Pelodiscus sinensis: one gene and its partner. The protein of the gene in region 1 interacts with the protein of each later gene in a biochemical or structural test. Links are inferred from orthologs where the notes say so. Each region holds a gene or a part of one and is shown on either strand. Other genes may lie near its edges.

Region 1 (7,858 bases):
CATAGTAATAGGTAGACTACATGCTAACCAATATTAGTTATTACACATGCAATCTAATACTTTCCTTATCTAATATGCAATACAAATGTGTAATGTTTGTTAAATCCTGCTAATTCAAATGCTCCAAGGTTTCTTGAGCTGCTGTAGTCCTCTAATGGAGTTAAGTTTAAGGATTCACTATATTAGGTTTTAATTCCTTAGTGATTGCTGTTCAATATAACCTTTGATGTGAAAGGACATGAAACTTACCTTAGACCAAAAACTCCTGTCATTAATTTATATAAAATATATTCATGTGTTTAGTTTAAGATAAGAGGCTAACACAGACTTTGAGAAAAAATTGAAAACGTAATGTTTTATCTCAAGCCACAAGAGATCAGGTGTGTGTGGGGGGGGGGGGGGGGAGATGATATGTTCTCATCCTGCCCACAAACCATGCTCCATTCACCTGTGAAGCCAAAATAGGATGTTATTGACAACAAACTATGTATCCTTCATAACATTTATTGCAGCCTTTGCTCAGTAGTGAATTCCATTTAAGCCTCTTTAATCCAGCAACCCTGGGAAATAGGGTAAAGTTTTCAAACCACAGAGGGTGCTGCAGTGGATTCTGGGAAGAAGGGAGCATGCATGAAGGGAATAGGGATGCAGGGTCTGGACATGAGGTTGATGGGAGTGGGGTATTTCTGGCACCCTGCTATGGGAGCATATGCGGCTCCATGCCCCAAAATACTAACTGGGGATGTTAAAGTGGGTTTACATAAACATGTAATTGTTGAAATTCAGGGCTTACACATAGGAGCAGAGCCATCTGACCCCACCCCTTGCTCCCATCTCACCCCCTTGCTGTTGCCTCAGATGGTGGGAGAACTGCGTGTAACCATGCACAACAGATTAGTCCAAGGTCATTGATAACCATGTACATGTTTGCATCCTTAATACCAATCTCTGCTGCCTCACCTCCAGACCAGCACTTTGCTATGTTGCTGTTTCCTTAGATGTGAGGGAGGGGAGAATGGCAGCACACAGAGCTGCTTCCTCCTCTCCCTGCTGGAGTCCAAACCAATATCATTGTTAGCATTCCACTGAGGTAAGTGGAGCAGATTATACTTCAGAGAAGTACGATTTGAGGCTCTCTAGCTTCAGAGAAATGCACAATTAGAATCTATCTACAGCAAGGGTATTTCTACTGTACAGTATACAGGTGCTAACCTCTCCATGTAGATGTGTTGAACAGGTATAAAACAAACTTGCACTGGTGAGGCTTATCTTGGTTTCTAAAGTAAACTGCACTAACAGGTCTTACATTCAAATCTGTACACTTAATACATGTTATATTCACTGCAGCTTCACTGGTGTAAACTATACAGACAAATATAAACAGGTCATCAAAACATACTGAAAGTTATCACAATAACTAAAAGGGCTAACATCATCATCAAGTAAAAGCATGTAAACACACATTTAGTTCCTTGGTGAATCCAGGCCTAAATGACAGTTTACATTCCGGAATACAAGCCTCTCATTCAGTCATCAAGAAGTCATCATAATACAACCTCTGAATGAAAGTTTATGCTGTAAAGAAACAAGTAACAAATCAAACCTATTTGAAAAAGCATACATAGTTTTTAAAAGCATACATTATAGAAAGACACTGTGCATTTTGAAGGGAAAACAGCAAAGGTTTTGGAGAAAAGTTATTTGTTTGCTCTCAAGAGTGCAGATGAATTTAGGAAATTAATTCTTTAATCCATTTCACAGAAAGACAGACAAATGGGATAAATAATTTAAGGAAAAACACGAGAGCATGTCAGTGACATTCGCGCATCCTTCTACCCACGTACAACATATACACCAGCTCAACTCAATCTCAGCATACTATTAGCTGGTAATAAACATCTTAACTTGCTCAAATACATATGTGCATTTCTCCATCATTCTGATAGCCTGATTCAAACAGTTATGTCAAAATAGTTGCACACACACATTCACTCTGCATAAATGGCGGTGTTTCACTGAAATGTCTCTGGGATACAACATAAATACAAATAATCTTGCAGCACCTTAGAGACTAACAAAAATGTACATGGTATCATGAGCTTTCATGGGCACAAGCTGATGCCCACGAAAGCTCATGATACCTCTAAATTTCTGTTAGTCTTTAAGGTGCTGCAAAACTGTTTTAAGTTTATTTAGTTACAGACTAACACAGCTACACCTCTGAAACTGATACACAAGCGTTTCAACCTTGAAAAGTATTTTCACCAATATATGAGGTTTCTTGTCCTTACTGGGGGGAAAGATGCCAAATCACAACCAAACAAGATAGATAATGGAGGTAATAAGAATAATAAAGTCTCTTTTTAGTTTTACCCAGTGTGGTCCTGGCACATAAGGTGAGCTTTGTACTCCGTCAGTCATGGCCATTATTTTGGCTTCCTTCTCCATTATAATATATATCATACTGCCAAGAATTAAAAAAAAAAAGACAAAACCAATCCAAGAGACAGTGTAAACGGACAAGAATAGTTAAGCAGAACTCGAGCCAGGACTGGAAGAGGAAGGGGCAGCCCCTGGAGCGAGGAGGCAGAGAAGAGGGCAGGAGATTTGGCAGCAAGCGGAGGTAAGACGCAGCTACAGGAGACTGGGAAAGGAAGAGACACTTTAGTCCCGGTCCCCTGCCCGCAGGAGAGCAAGGAGGCTGGGGCCGCGGGCTGTTGCCCAGCCCGGGAGAGGCTGTGGGCCAGGCAGGGCTCTGCCCCCCGGCCGGTACTCACCAGACCATGCCGTAGGCGCCCTCCCCGATGTAGGAGAGGTTGGTGTAGCGGGGCCCCACATCGAACGCCTGGCCCCGCACCATCTCCGGAGTCCCGGGGTTGGCCGAGCCGCCCGCAGCCCCGGCACCCGATACCGCCGCCATGTTCTCGGTGCTGGGAACCGCTAGGGAAGAGGGGAACGCGGTCGCCTCGGGTGCCCGCGCGGCGGCTGCGCTCCCAGGAACCCGCAGCCGTCCGGCCCAAGGCCCGCTCGCCGCCGCTGTGAGGAGGCTGAGGGGCGCGCGCCCGGAACGGAGGGTGGTCTCGCTCGCGCGCACACGGCAGGAGGAGGAGTGGTGAGGGAACCAGGCGTTATAAGCATGGGAGGGGCGGGGCAAGCGGGGACTGCGGTAACTTCAGAACCGCCGCAGAAAAGAGGGGGGCGGAGCCAAGAAGGGCACGTGGTCGGTGTGCCAGCTGCGCTGCTGCAGGGAGCCATTCAGCGTCAGGTGACGGATGCCCGCCTGCCAATGGGCTGAGGCCTGCGCTTGTCAGGGCCCTTGGGCTGCGTCGCCAGACGGGGGCGTCCCCGCGCCTTGGGGTTGTGTTCTGCTGAGGCAGCCCGGGATGCCGCCCCTGGCGTTGGGGCCGGCCGTTGGTCAATCCCTGACATGGCTCTCGTGTCAGTCAGGGGCTAGGCCCCGCCCCATAAGCTGAGTAGGAATCCACTGTACTCAGGTACTGCTCTGCCCCGCCCTTGGCCCATGGGGGGAGGGGGACTCGTGTGGTAACTGGCTTTCTTGGCGGGAGGAGGGGTTACTGCATGACTGCTGGGCGTCCTGCCCTTGTCTCAGGGAGCCGAGCTGCGTGAGTATTAATCCGCTAGTGGACATTAAACACGCTTGAGCCAGTGGTCAGTGCCCAGCAGTGCTCTCCGTAAGCCCTGCCTGTGTGGCTGCCCAGCAGAGTGCCTGTTGGTGGTGCACATTTGCACATGCCTGGGTGCGCATAAAATTGTATTTTGCACACGGATGGGAAAAATCTGCACCTGCATTGAACAGATTCGAGCAAACATTGGAGCCTAGGGAGTGGTATGTCTTGTGTGCCACATCCTTACATAATGCAGTGGGAACAGTAGCTCTCTACCCTTGAAATAGGATTCCATACTGCATACTCAGCTCATCTTTAACTTGAAAATAGGGTTCTGAAACTAGTGCTGCTTGTCTTGTTTTCTGGCCATCCTGCTAGTATTGCTCTCTTGATTGCTTGTAGGTGGGTGTTCTTTTTCTTAGCCTCTGGGTCTCCATCTACTTCACTTTTGAAATTGAAGATATCACAATATGTTCATAAATTCAGTGTCCTGATTCCCTTTCCACTGATGCTGGATATATGGGCCCAGCTAATGGTATCAACTAATGCCAGTCATCATTCAAACAATATCTGATCTTTGCTTTCTAGTGTTATTAAAGGCATATCAGCATGCGTTGCCATTTCTTTGGAGCACTTTTTAAAAAGGGGCTTTGTCATAATTGTGTCTAGGGGTTTGTGTCCTCATTGCACTATTAGGAGTACAGATGCAATTGTTCCACTCCAAATACCACAGCCAGAAGCTCTTTTTCTGTTTAAACATACCCCTGTATTGCCTCTGACAGCACTCTATTAGCATATGTGACTGATTGCTTCTGCAAAAGAGCTACACCCAGTCCTCTCTGATGCATCACATTGGAGTGTCAGTAGCTCACCACGGTGGTAGTACTTAAATCAAATGCTTGCTCTTGGGATCCCATGTAGTCCCACTCAATATCGTGCCTTGTGAGATGATTTATAGATTCTGCTAGTGCAGCCAGATGTGGACAAAACTTGGATGGACATTTATCATGCTTAAGAAGTGCTACACCTCTCTCACAACAACTGGAACTGTCATGTAGCTGCTTTAAGCATGTTGTGATCAGCTCTCAGTCCCCCTGCTGTGAGCTGATGTACAAAGTATGTCATCTCATGTTATTTAAATTACATTTTATTTTGGTTTAATTCTATCGTCTTGTCCCTGTATTGCTATAGAAAAGTTTATAGTTTTCTATAAGGATGTTAAGAAGTAGGTAATTGGCTAACTGTGTAGTCAATACAATTTGTGTCACCTACATGATTAGTTGATAATGGGAGGTATTCTCTCCTGTCTCTGGGTCCAGGAGCTGCCCCCTGCTGTGGCTCTGCAGTTTAAATGTGGTAGAAACTGCTGAGTCCCAGCTTGTGCTGGGTCCTGGACCTTCCCCACTACAGCTCTGCTTTTTAAATGTACAGGCAGTCCCCGAGTTACGCGGATCCGATCCGCAGTTACGAACGGGGTTTGCTGCCCGTTTCCCTGGTCTCCTGAGACGGGGAGCAAAGCCTCTGAGGACGCCGGCAGCGGGACAGCCACGGCACATCTGGGCTGTCTGCTGCCCGCGTGCTCCCCGGCTTTGCTCCCCATCTCCCTGGTCTGCTGGGGGGGGGGGGGTGCAGCTAGTATGCCTCCCCCCAGCAGAGCAGGCTTTTCTCCGTACGCCTGTGGTAGAGCAGCTGGGGTGCTGCCGGTTGGTCCCGCAGCGCCGCTCTGGGCGCTACTGGACCAACCCAGCAGCACCCCAGCTGCTCTGCCCCAGGCGTCCTGATTCAGCCGCTGCTGGTCAGTTTCAGCAGCAGCTGAATCAGGACGCCTGGGGCAGAGCAGCTGGGGTGCTGCTGGGTTGGTCCAGTAACGCCGAGGAGCGGCGCTACTGGAGCAACCCAGCAGCACCCCAGCTGCTCTGCCCCAGGCGTCCCCGAGTCAGCCGCTGCTGAAACTGACCAGCGCTGACTACAGGAAGCCCGAGGCCGAGTTGCTCTGCCCTGGGCTTCCTGGAATCAGCCGCTGATCAGTTTCAGCAGCAGCTGACTTGGGGACGCCTGGAGTTCTTAAGTTGAATCTGTATGTAAGTCGGAACTGGTGTCCAGATTCAGCCTGTTGAAACTGATCAGAGGCTGATTCCAGGAAGCCCGGGGCAGAGCAACTCTGCCTCGGGCTTCCTGTAGTCAGCTGCTGGTCAGTTTCAGCAGCGGCTGAATCTGGACACCAGTTCCGACTTACATACAGATTCAACTTAAGAACAAACCTACAGTCCCTATCTTGTACGTAACCCGGGGACTGCCTGTAGTAAGAGCCTGGAGGTCAGGGACTTGGCACGAGCTGAGTCTGCTGAGTCCCAGCTTGTGACAGGTCCCAGACCTACTGCAGCCTGCCACCAGGGCTGCTGAGTCCCTGACTGCTGCAGGGGTCCATGATTGCTGTGCCTCTGCCTTATAAATGTGGTAAGAGCTAGGCAGCTCTTACTATGTTTAAAAGGCATAGCCACAGCAGTGTAGGTTTAGGACCCACACAAGCCAGGACTCAGCAGTCCTAGTTCACGCTGGTCCCTGACCACTATGCCTCTGCTTCCCCTGCCCCTCCCCCTCCCCCTGTACTGTGGAGATGGTGCTGGGAAGAACCAGCTTTTAAGCTGGCTGTATCCAGCATCAGCTCCTGCTTCTCCCCTCCTTGCTGCTTCTGATAAAGAGGCAGCAAGGAAAAGGAGCGAGTAGTTGGACTCAACTACCTGATAAGCCCACTGGATGTAGAAGCTACCCGTGCTGAGGCTCTGAATCTTAAATGTAGTAAGAGCCCGCCTGGCTCTTACTACATTTAAAATGCAGAGCCACAGTGAGGGTAGGTTCTGGACCCAGCGCAAGCCAGCACTGAGTCCGGGACTGCTGCAGCTGGCCTGGCTCTTGCTACATTTAAAATGAAGGTAGGTGCCGGACCCAGTTCAAGCCAGGACTGAGCTGGGCTTGCTCAGTCCTGGATCATGCCATGTCCAGCATCCCTGTCCATGGGGGTACTGGCAGGGAACTGGGACCCACAAAAACAGGGGCTGCCACCAGATAGAGGAAGAAGCATGGGAAGGGGGGCAGAGACGGTGCTGGGAGGATCCGGCTTTTAACTGGCCTGATACAGAGGCAGCAAGGCGAAGGGAAGGTGAATAGTTGAGTAGTTGACTACTCACTTACATTCCTAATGGGCATAAGGCAGTGGTAGAGGGGTCTGGTCCAGCCCTACTGTTTCACTCTGCTTTAGGGAGCAATAACTCTCCAGAGCTCCTCAGACTGCTGTGATATTTGAGGCAGTGGTGTGCTTCAGAGTGGTGCATACATACCTGTCTGCATTATTTCCTAGTAAAAGGCATGATAATAGTTTTAGTTGCCTGCTGTTGTCATTCTCCTGCATGGTTATCTCTGCCCACAACTGTCTTATCACTGGGCTACCTGTGAATCTGCAAAATCTAGGTTTCTGGGGAATTTCAGATTGAGTTCCATGGTTTATGCTGCCAACTGCAGCTCTTCAGAGACCTCACAGCAGCTCCAGTGCTGCCACTGTGTTTCATTTGCAAAGAGTGAAGCTGTATTCAGCATAAGCTGAACACATGGAATTTTATTAAACCTTGTGTGCTGTTCTATTCCTGAATCTGAGTTGCTTCCAGCTCAACCCTATTGATTTACCATGTTCCCTGGTGTCCTATTATTAAGAGCCCCTCTAAGGAGCATGACCTGTATGACTTGGTTCCACTAATCATGATACATTTCCTCTATTTTATTTTATCCTTTAATACATACACTAAAACAAATCATTTATGCCCAAACCCACTCTCCACCCCCATGTCCCTTCAGCCAGAGCTTGCCAGCATGTGGATGAGTCCGAGTCTCCACTTTACCACAGGTTCAGCTGGTTACATAATCTTTGAGACAGTGCTTCTGAAATGCTTTGCCTTGTCTCTCCCCCCTCAGAGGATTTCCTGCTTCTGCCACTGCACTTATTTAATAATTCTCAATGTCTCTCCCACCACTGCCTAAATCATCTTGCCAGTCCTACCAGCAATTGAATATACCAAGTCCAGCCCTTCTCCTGTCACCAACTGCCAAAACCAACTTTCATTCTGACCAGCCAGTATCAGCTCTCCCAAACCAACTATTAGTCTCAGCGAATATACCCTCTCTCAAATGCTATGGATCCTTGGGATTCCATCATACCATGCCTCATCTTAAAGTAAAAC
Region 2 (7,359 bases), on another chromosome or scaffold:
TTCTTGAAACCTTTCTTCCTTCAAATTACATTTACATTCATACTTTAACAATGTGCAAATTTGGGTGCTTTAAATACAAACAAAAAAACGGTTTAAAAGAGTTTGAAACAGAAAACAGGAACTAACTTAAGGAATTTTTTTTAAATCCATGGAATTGGCAAGCAAGAATGGAGTCAATATTTTAGCTGTGATTGCCTGATGTGACAAATGTTGACCTTCCTGAACCCATAACAACTAGCAATAAGTCCCACTGAAAACTGTAAGCAACTTTTACTGTTTTAAAGGCATGTTTTGATGTTGTTTATGCTAGTTATTTTTCTCTTATGTGGTACAGAATTATTTAATTGCTACAATGGTAACACCTATATATGAGGTAACAATGAAGTAAAGTATATTTTAGTTTCATACCTTGTCAAAACTCTAGAGATAATCATACAAAATCAAATAAAAACAAGTCAACTGCCAACTTTTGTACATCATCTTTTCCTTGAAGTAACTTCATGAACATAGATTTCCTATTAATCTTTCTATAACTACACTGGTGCTTCATCTGCTGGTATCATACTACTGTCAAGTAACTGGTTTATATTTACAGCAATGTGAAAGTCCACAAATATTGCACAGAATACATCTAGATACCCAAACAATTGCTGATTTTAGATTGCCATATTAGTAAAGCATTCTCTAGAATGGAAATCTTTTTTTGAATGTCCTTCTACCACAAATGGGAAAGACAGATTTCTTTGTTGTGAGTTGAGTAGCCAACTAAAAGCTCTTTTTCTCTGTAAAATAACTTTAGAAGTAAACCTATCAACACTCAGTCTTCACCGCCAAGCGCTGCAATTCACTATTTACACATGAAGTCTCATATAAAAATCCTTATGAAACTACAGTAATTGTTAAATCTATATAAAGATTACAAGCTCTATCTCCACCATTACTCTCACCTATGCACATACTAAATGCTAGCAAGTGTACGTTAAAAGTATTAAGTACAACGTATTCAGAAGTACATGAGAAAGCATTTTAAAATATGCTCATGGTAGCTTCAATTCTGAATGCCTTTGCGTGTGTAAGATACATATTGAATGTATCCTAGTTATTGAACTTGTGCCCCGGATTGCATCACAATAACTATAAAATTGGAAAGCTCTATAAAATCTCAAGTATTATCAAATAAAATACAGAATAGGACTAACACTATAAAGATACCACGTCTCATCTTACACAATATGCAGTCTCCAGTATAATTACTGCAAACACATTATACTTTCTACACTTTTGCAGAGTAGATATTTCATGTTTGTAAACTGTCTTTTATTCAGCAAAACCAAAACAGTTCCACAACTTCAAGTGAAACAAGCCACAGAAGAAAGGATTCATTTTTATTAATGTTTAACTATACCGATGGGAAAGCAAAGGCAAATGTAAAATCTAAGTAGTTTAGAATAAGTACTATATAGATTATGAAAAGCAGACACACTTTTTTTGTGGGGAGGTGAGGTGAATCCGGGGGGAAGGATGCTTTAGCAGGAAAAAAAAAATCAAATGCACTCTGCTGCACTGCTTGGAAGAGTTAACGGGTTTAACTGCACTGAAACTGAATGGCTGACACATCCGGTCCTGGGTCCTCAACCACCAGGGCAAATTCAAACTTCAAAGCCTCTCGGAGCTCAGGCAGAAATAAATCACTCCCCTCACCCCCCAACAGCTGCGATTCCCATTTAACTAAGAGTCACGACTTCCAGAAAGCAGCACACACAAACGGGTTGGCAGGGCAAAGGTAACACAAATGAGAAGTTGATGCACAGGCTACACAGTCCTGGGAAATACAATCCTAGCTCTTTTATCCTGCAGCGCCTGCCGCATAAGTCAACGAGGCACTGAACACAACAAGCTACTGGCCAGTCCCCTACTCCCCCCCCTTCTCTTACAGATGACAGCTCCCCACAAACACGGGGGGCCTGTCGGGGGCGATCTCACACCAGCCACCCCCTCTGCCCCATAACACCGTCCCCCACGCATATCCCAGCGCCCCTGCAAGCAAATCCGGGCCCGAAAAGCACGTCCCCGCTACCTGCCCATGGGCGCAGCGCCAGGCTCCCGGGGCTGGGTCTCCACCGAGAGGGGGACCCGAAAGCTCGAGGAGGGGCAGGGGCCAGGCTCCGGGCGCGCACTATCCCACGCCGCCAGCAGCGCCGGGCCCCCCACCTCCAACACCTGCGCGGGCTGCCCCGTGTGAGGCGCCGGGGTCCTCACCGCCGCCCGCTCCAGCCCCGCGCCGCTCACCCGGCAGGGGGAGACGGCTCCATCCTTCTCTCGGCGGCGGGGTCGGCTCCCACGGGGCTCCCGTCCGGCAGCGGCTCGTGGGGCGCGGCGCAGCGGCCGGGGGAAGACGCGGGGCTGGAGGGGCCGGAGCCCCCGGCGAGGCAGCGCGGCGGCGGTTCGGGGGACTCCGGCGAGCCGGCGAGGAAGAGGGGCGCCTCGGGCAGCCGGTCCAGCTCCACGCTCCGCACTTTGCGCAGCTGCTTCCGTCTCCAGTCTGAGCGCTGCTCCCGGCAGCCGCCGCCGCCCGCCTCCCGCAGGAGCCCCCCGCCGCTGCCGGGCAAGCTGCCCGCGCCGCTGCCGCTCTGCAGGCTCCCGGAGGCGGCGGCGGCGGCGTCCGCGCTGGTGCCCGAGGATAATCCCGACGACGAGGTGCGAGTCCCCGCCGCCGCCGCCATTTTCTCTGGCGGGTCACATCGGGCTCCGGAGCAGGGAGGCGGGGGATGAGCCGCGCTCCGGCCGCTGCGGCAGCGGCGTGGGCTGCGCCAAAGGCGTACGAGGGGTGGGAACTGAGCGCAGGCGGGACGGGCGTTGAGAAGGTGAGGCTGGGAGCGGTCGCTCGACGCCGCCCGCGGGCAGGTGGTGGCAGGACCTGGCCGTACCTACGCTGGGCGGGCTGGCTCCTGCCTGGGGAAAGGGGCTGGGCCGGAGGAGCCAGCACCTGGCGGGGGGGCTGGATGGTGCAGGACCCGGCAGGCGACCCCGCCTCCTTCACTCCTCGGAGATCAAGGGGCCGGTTCCTGCCCGCCGGACTGGGGGGCTTATCCCGAGACTCTGACCGGTGTGTCCTTGCCCGGCTCCCCCAGAGCGCGGAAAGCTCCGTGCAGTTGGGGAGCTTCTCTCTCCGCGGCGGTAGCGAGGCCAGTGAGAGCCTCACCTACCTTGCCTGGCGCAGATGCCGGGGGCGATGGGACTCCAGCTGAGAAGCAAACATTTTCACCCCCGCGCCTGCACTGTACTGAGAAGATCTCCCTCCACTCGGCAAAACGTATCCCATAGCCGGAGAAAAGGGGAGAGGGTTGTATTAAGAATGTGGGGAATACAAGCTCCTCGTTTGGAGGTAACTCCCCTCCACCAGAGTTGTACTCGCATTACAATAGATAGTTTCCCATTCAAGTACACGCACCTCCTCACCACACTTGGAGATTAGCCCTATCCATTCTGATTTAATTAGCACTCCCAGCTCTGTACCTTCTTCCCTCCCCTTGTGTTGTTATTTTTTCTTTTCAGCATCTGAGGAAGTGAGTTCAAGCTCATGACAGCTTATGTTCTAATACCCTAAAAACATGGTAGCATGGTAGTCTTTGAAGTGCCCCTAGACTCCTTGTTGTTTTAGAATCATAGAATGAAAATAGCAAGCAAATGTTTTGAGAGAACACATTACTGTGTAGTAGTATAGCAAGTGAATGGTAGTGCACCAGTCCTGGAGGTACTGTAATACCAGATTGATGCATAGGGCTGGGCAAATCCAGCTCCCTACTCCAAAAATAATTCAGTCATAGCGCACCAGGGTAGTGTGTCCAAAAGGACAGGTTGAGGATACTACACTTGATTTTAGCCAAACTAGAACTGGAAGGGACCTCAAGAGATCATCAAGTCCAGTCCCCTGCCCTTCTGGCAGGACCATGTACCATCTAGATCACCCCTGAGAGATGTCTGTCTCACCTGCTCTTAAAAATCTTCAGGGATGGGAGATTCCACAACTTCCCTATGCAATTTATTCCAGTATTTAACCACCCTAACAGGAAATTTTTCCTAATGTCCAACCTAAACCTCACTTGCTGCTGTTTAAGACCATTGCTTCTAGTTCTATCCTCAGAAGCAAAACAGAATGATTCCCCCTCTCCCATGACGCCCTTTTAGATACATGAAAATATCATGTCCCCTGTCCGGCTTCTCTTTTCCAAACTAAAGAAGCCCAATTCTTTCAACTTTCCGTCATAGCTCATGTTCTCTAGACTGTTAATCATTTTTGTTGCTCTTCTCTGGACCTCCAATTTCTCCACATCTTTCTTGAAATGTGGTGACCAGAACTGGACACAATACTCCAACTGAGGCCTAATCAATGCAGAGTAGAGCAGAAGAATGACTTCTCGTGTCTTGTTCACAACACTCCTGTTAATGCATCCTAGAATCATGTTTGCTTTTTTTGCAACAGTATCACATTGTGGACTCATATTTAGCTTGTGGTCCACTATGACCCCTAGATGCCTTTCTGCCGTACTCCTTCAGACAGTCACTTCCCATTCTGTATGTGTGAAACTGATTGTTCGTTCCTGAGTAGAGTACTTTGCATTTGTCCTTATTAAACTTCATCCTATTTACCTCCAACCATTTCTCCAATTTATCCAGATCATTTTGAATTATGACCCTATCCTCCAAAGCAACCCCTCTCAACTTGGTATCATCTGCAAACTTAATAAGCATACTCTCTATGCCACCATCTAAATTGTTGATGAAGATATTGAGCAGAACTGGTCTCAGAACAGATCCCTGTGGAACCCCACTTGTGCCCTTCCTGCATGACTTAAAATCATTAATAACTAAACTCTGACAATGGGGTTCCAGACAGTTATGCAACCACCTTATAGTAATCCCGCTACCAAGACCATACTTGATAGTTAAAACAGGGACAGAGAGAAGATTTAGACACATGGAACAGACAAAATAGTCACAGAACATACAAACTTAGAGAAGAATTTTAAACCATCAATTTAAACTTATTAAGCAACAAGAGATAGTTAAAAGCAAGTCGTTCTAATAGCTAAGCATATATAGGAAATCAATTAAAAGAAACTGAAAATGAAGTAAGTATTGAAGGTATTAGATTAGATGAATGAGTTTTTGTACTTTGAAAGGAAACACTGAAACTAATGGACTTCTCAAAATTAGAAATATATTCTGTACCAGGGGAACATCAATATTTGTCTACTTGTTTAGGTTTAAATTATTTTGCATTTAATGAGTATCATTAAGCATGAATGTACAAAGCATGAAATATATTGAAGAAATAAGATTGCCATTGCGTCATATCCTGCAGGTATTCATTCTGCAGAAAACCTGTTTGTGTTGAAGAAAAGCACTGCAATCAAGGAACTCTCAAACTATTGCGCTCCAATGAGTTAATTTAATTTAAAATCTGCGGTACTATAGACTAATATGAAGTTAATCGTTTTCTATGTGCACATTTCCCCTAAATTGTAAGTGGTAACATCCAAGACTGATTATGAAACTGAAGTCTTTGGCCTAGATCCTCAAGTTGTTGTCTTGCAACAATTGAAAGAGTGTGGCTGTTATACACAGATAAAGTTCTATATGGGAATATGGTAAATTTTGGCAAGCTGAAGGCTCATCTTTTTCTCAATACCTAAAATAATATGAATTCAGCATAGTTTTCAACACAGTTAATCTCAAACACAGTTACACATAGAAACAACATGCAGTTAAGAATCTTCTATGCTTCTGAATACATAAAGTAGGCAATACTGTCTGCACAAAGTAAAGATGAGAGAGAAAATGAATTATATAACATAACAGCTTTTGGTCATGCCTATACAAGCAAAGTGTAACACCTCATGATAACTGGATCCTCTGACATGGTAGGTTTGGTTGTGAAAATATGCTCATAGACAGCTCATTCACATTCAGTCTACAAGTGCTTAGATGGGCTATAGCTGAAGGGAAAGTGAACATGTTCCATAGCCATCTCTCTTTTGTGTTTGCACCGCCACATGATAGAAAACTCAGACAATTGAGTGGTAACTCACCTGGAGACTGATAGTGCCCTCTTGACTCTGCTTTACCATTGCTCTTCTAACACTTCTCCTTTCTTTTAAAAACTCCCCCTCCTCCCTTTCTTACTTAAAGCTCTTAGGCTATGTCTACACAGCAGCATTATTTTGGAATAACAGACTATGGTGACATATGCACATCCCATCATAGGAGTGAAGATATTCAGGGGTGTGGACACCTCCTGATTGCCCACAGGGTCATTAGCTGTCTCTGTAGTCCATAAATACCCCCTTGTGGTCTATGAAAGTTGAGCTTAGTGTCCAAGGTCAATAGTGCTGTCCTTCTCTCAGGGCAGTACAGTCTACCAGTCAGAGTCTGTCGTCAGCCTTCTCTCTGGAGTAGTGTGGCCTAGTGGCCAGAGTCAGTAAGTAGCCTTTGTCGCAGGGTAGTATGGTCCAATGGCCAGAGTCAGTAAATAGCCCTTGTCTCAGGGCAGCACAGAGTCAGTAAGTAGTACTTGCTACAGAGCAGTAGGACTTAATGGCCATAGTCAGTAGGGTTGAAGCAAGCATCCCGGTAGGGGGTCCCAGGCCTACACTGCTCCATGGGGTCCCAACCCAGGCTCCTGTGAGCAGCAGAATGGTCTACCACTCCCTCAGTGGGGAATCCAGCCGAAACACGCCAAGTATACCTGGTTGTGAAAGGCTGCTCCTTTATCCTTTCTGGGTCACTTCTTACTGATTCTGGCAGGTCAACCTCCCATGTAGCGGCTGAGTCTCCCAGTTCCCCGGTAGCAGTTTCTCCCTGGGATTCCGAGGGGGGTGCGTAGCAGCCATCTCCCGGGACTCTGGTTCTCGCTGGCTTCTGCAACTTGGGAGCTCTGACCGGAGGTTCTTCTCCTTTGCTGTCCAGCCCAGACTGAGATGCTCTCTTGCTTTTTATGCTGCCCCAGCACTTGGAGTATGCCCAGTCTGGTTGAAGGGGTGAGGCTTCTTCCGCCCACAGGGTTTTCACTCCCTCTGCTCCAGTGTGAGGCATGCACACCCCATGACACTGACATTATTCTGAAATAACAGAGTCCGTGTCTACGGAGCAAGCAGTTATTTCGACATAATGTCAAAATAACTTTGAGCTGGAGGACTTCTTATTCCGACTCCTGTAACCCTCATTTTATGAGGAGTAAGGGAAGTTGGAGGAAGAGTGCTCTGTCTTAGACTTCTTTCTGTGTAGACAGCACCAAAAGCCAAAATAAGCTATTTTGATTTAAGCTACGCAATTGACGTAGCTCACGTTGCATAGCTT

What was found. The genes of interacting proteins can lie anywhere in the genome.
Region 2: of the proteins of MAPK1 (region 1) and MAP3K1, one has a biochemical effect on the other in vitro, tested with the Homo sapiens proteins (3 studies listed by BioGRID). The link is inferred for Pelodiscus sinensis from reciprocal best matches to the Homo sapiens genes MAPK1 and MAP3K1.

Annotation. Positions count from the first base shown.
Region 1 is NC_134725.1:17,137,258-17,145,115, reverse strand, and holds the start of MAPK1 (mitogen-activated protein kinase 1), read right to left. Parts: upstream 3,158-7,858; 5' UTR 2,921-3,157; coding exon 2,778-2,920; intron 1-2,777. UniProt on the Homo sapiens protein: Serine/threonine kinase which acts as an essential component of the MAP kinase signal transduction pathway. MAPK1/ERK2 and MAPK3/ERK1 are the 2 MAPKs which play an important role in the MAPK/ERK cascade.
Region 2 is NC_134716.1:95,999,256-96,006,614, forward strand, and holds the start of MAP3K1 (mitogen-activated protein kinase kinase kinase 1), read right to left. Parts: upstream 3,152-7,359; 5' UTR 2,724-3,151; coding exon 2,290-2,723; intron 2,101-2,289; exon of another isoform or gene 2,086-2,100; coding exon of another isoform or gene 2,078-2,085; intron 1,957-2,077; exon of another isoform or gene 1,618-1,956; coding exon of another isoform or gene 1,484-1,617; intron 1-1,483. UniProt on the Homo sapiens protein: Component of a protein kinase signal transduction cascade. Activates the ERK and JNK kinase pathways by phosphorylation of MAP2K1 and MAP2K4. May phosphorylate the MAPK8/JNK1 kinase.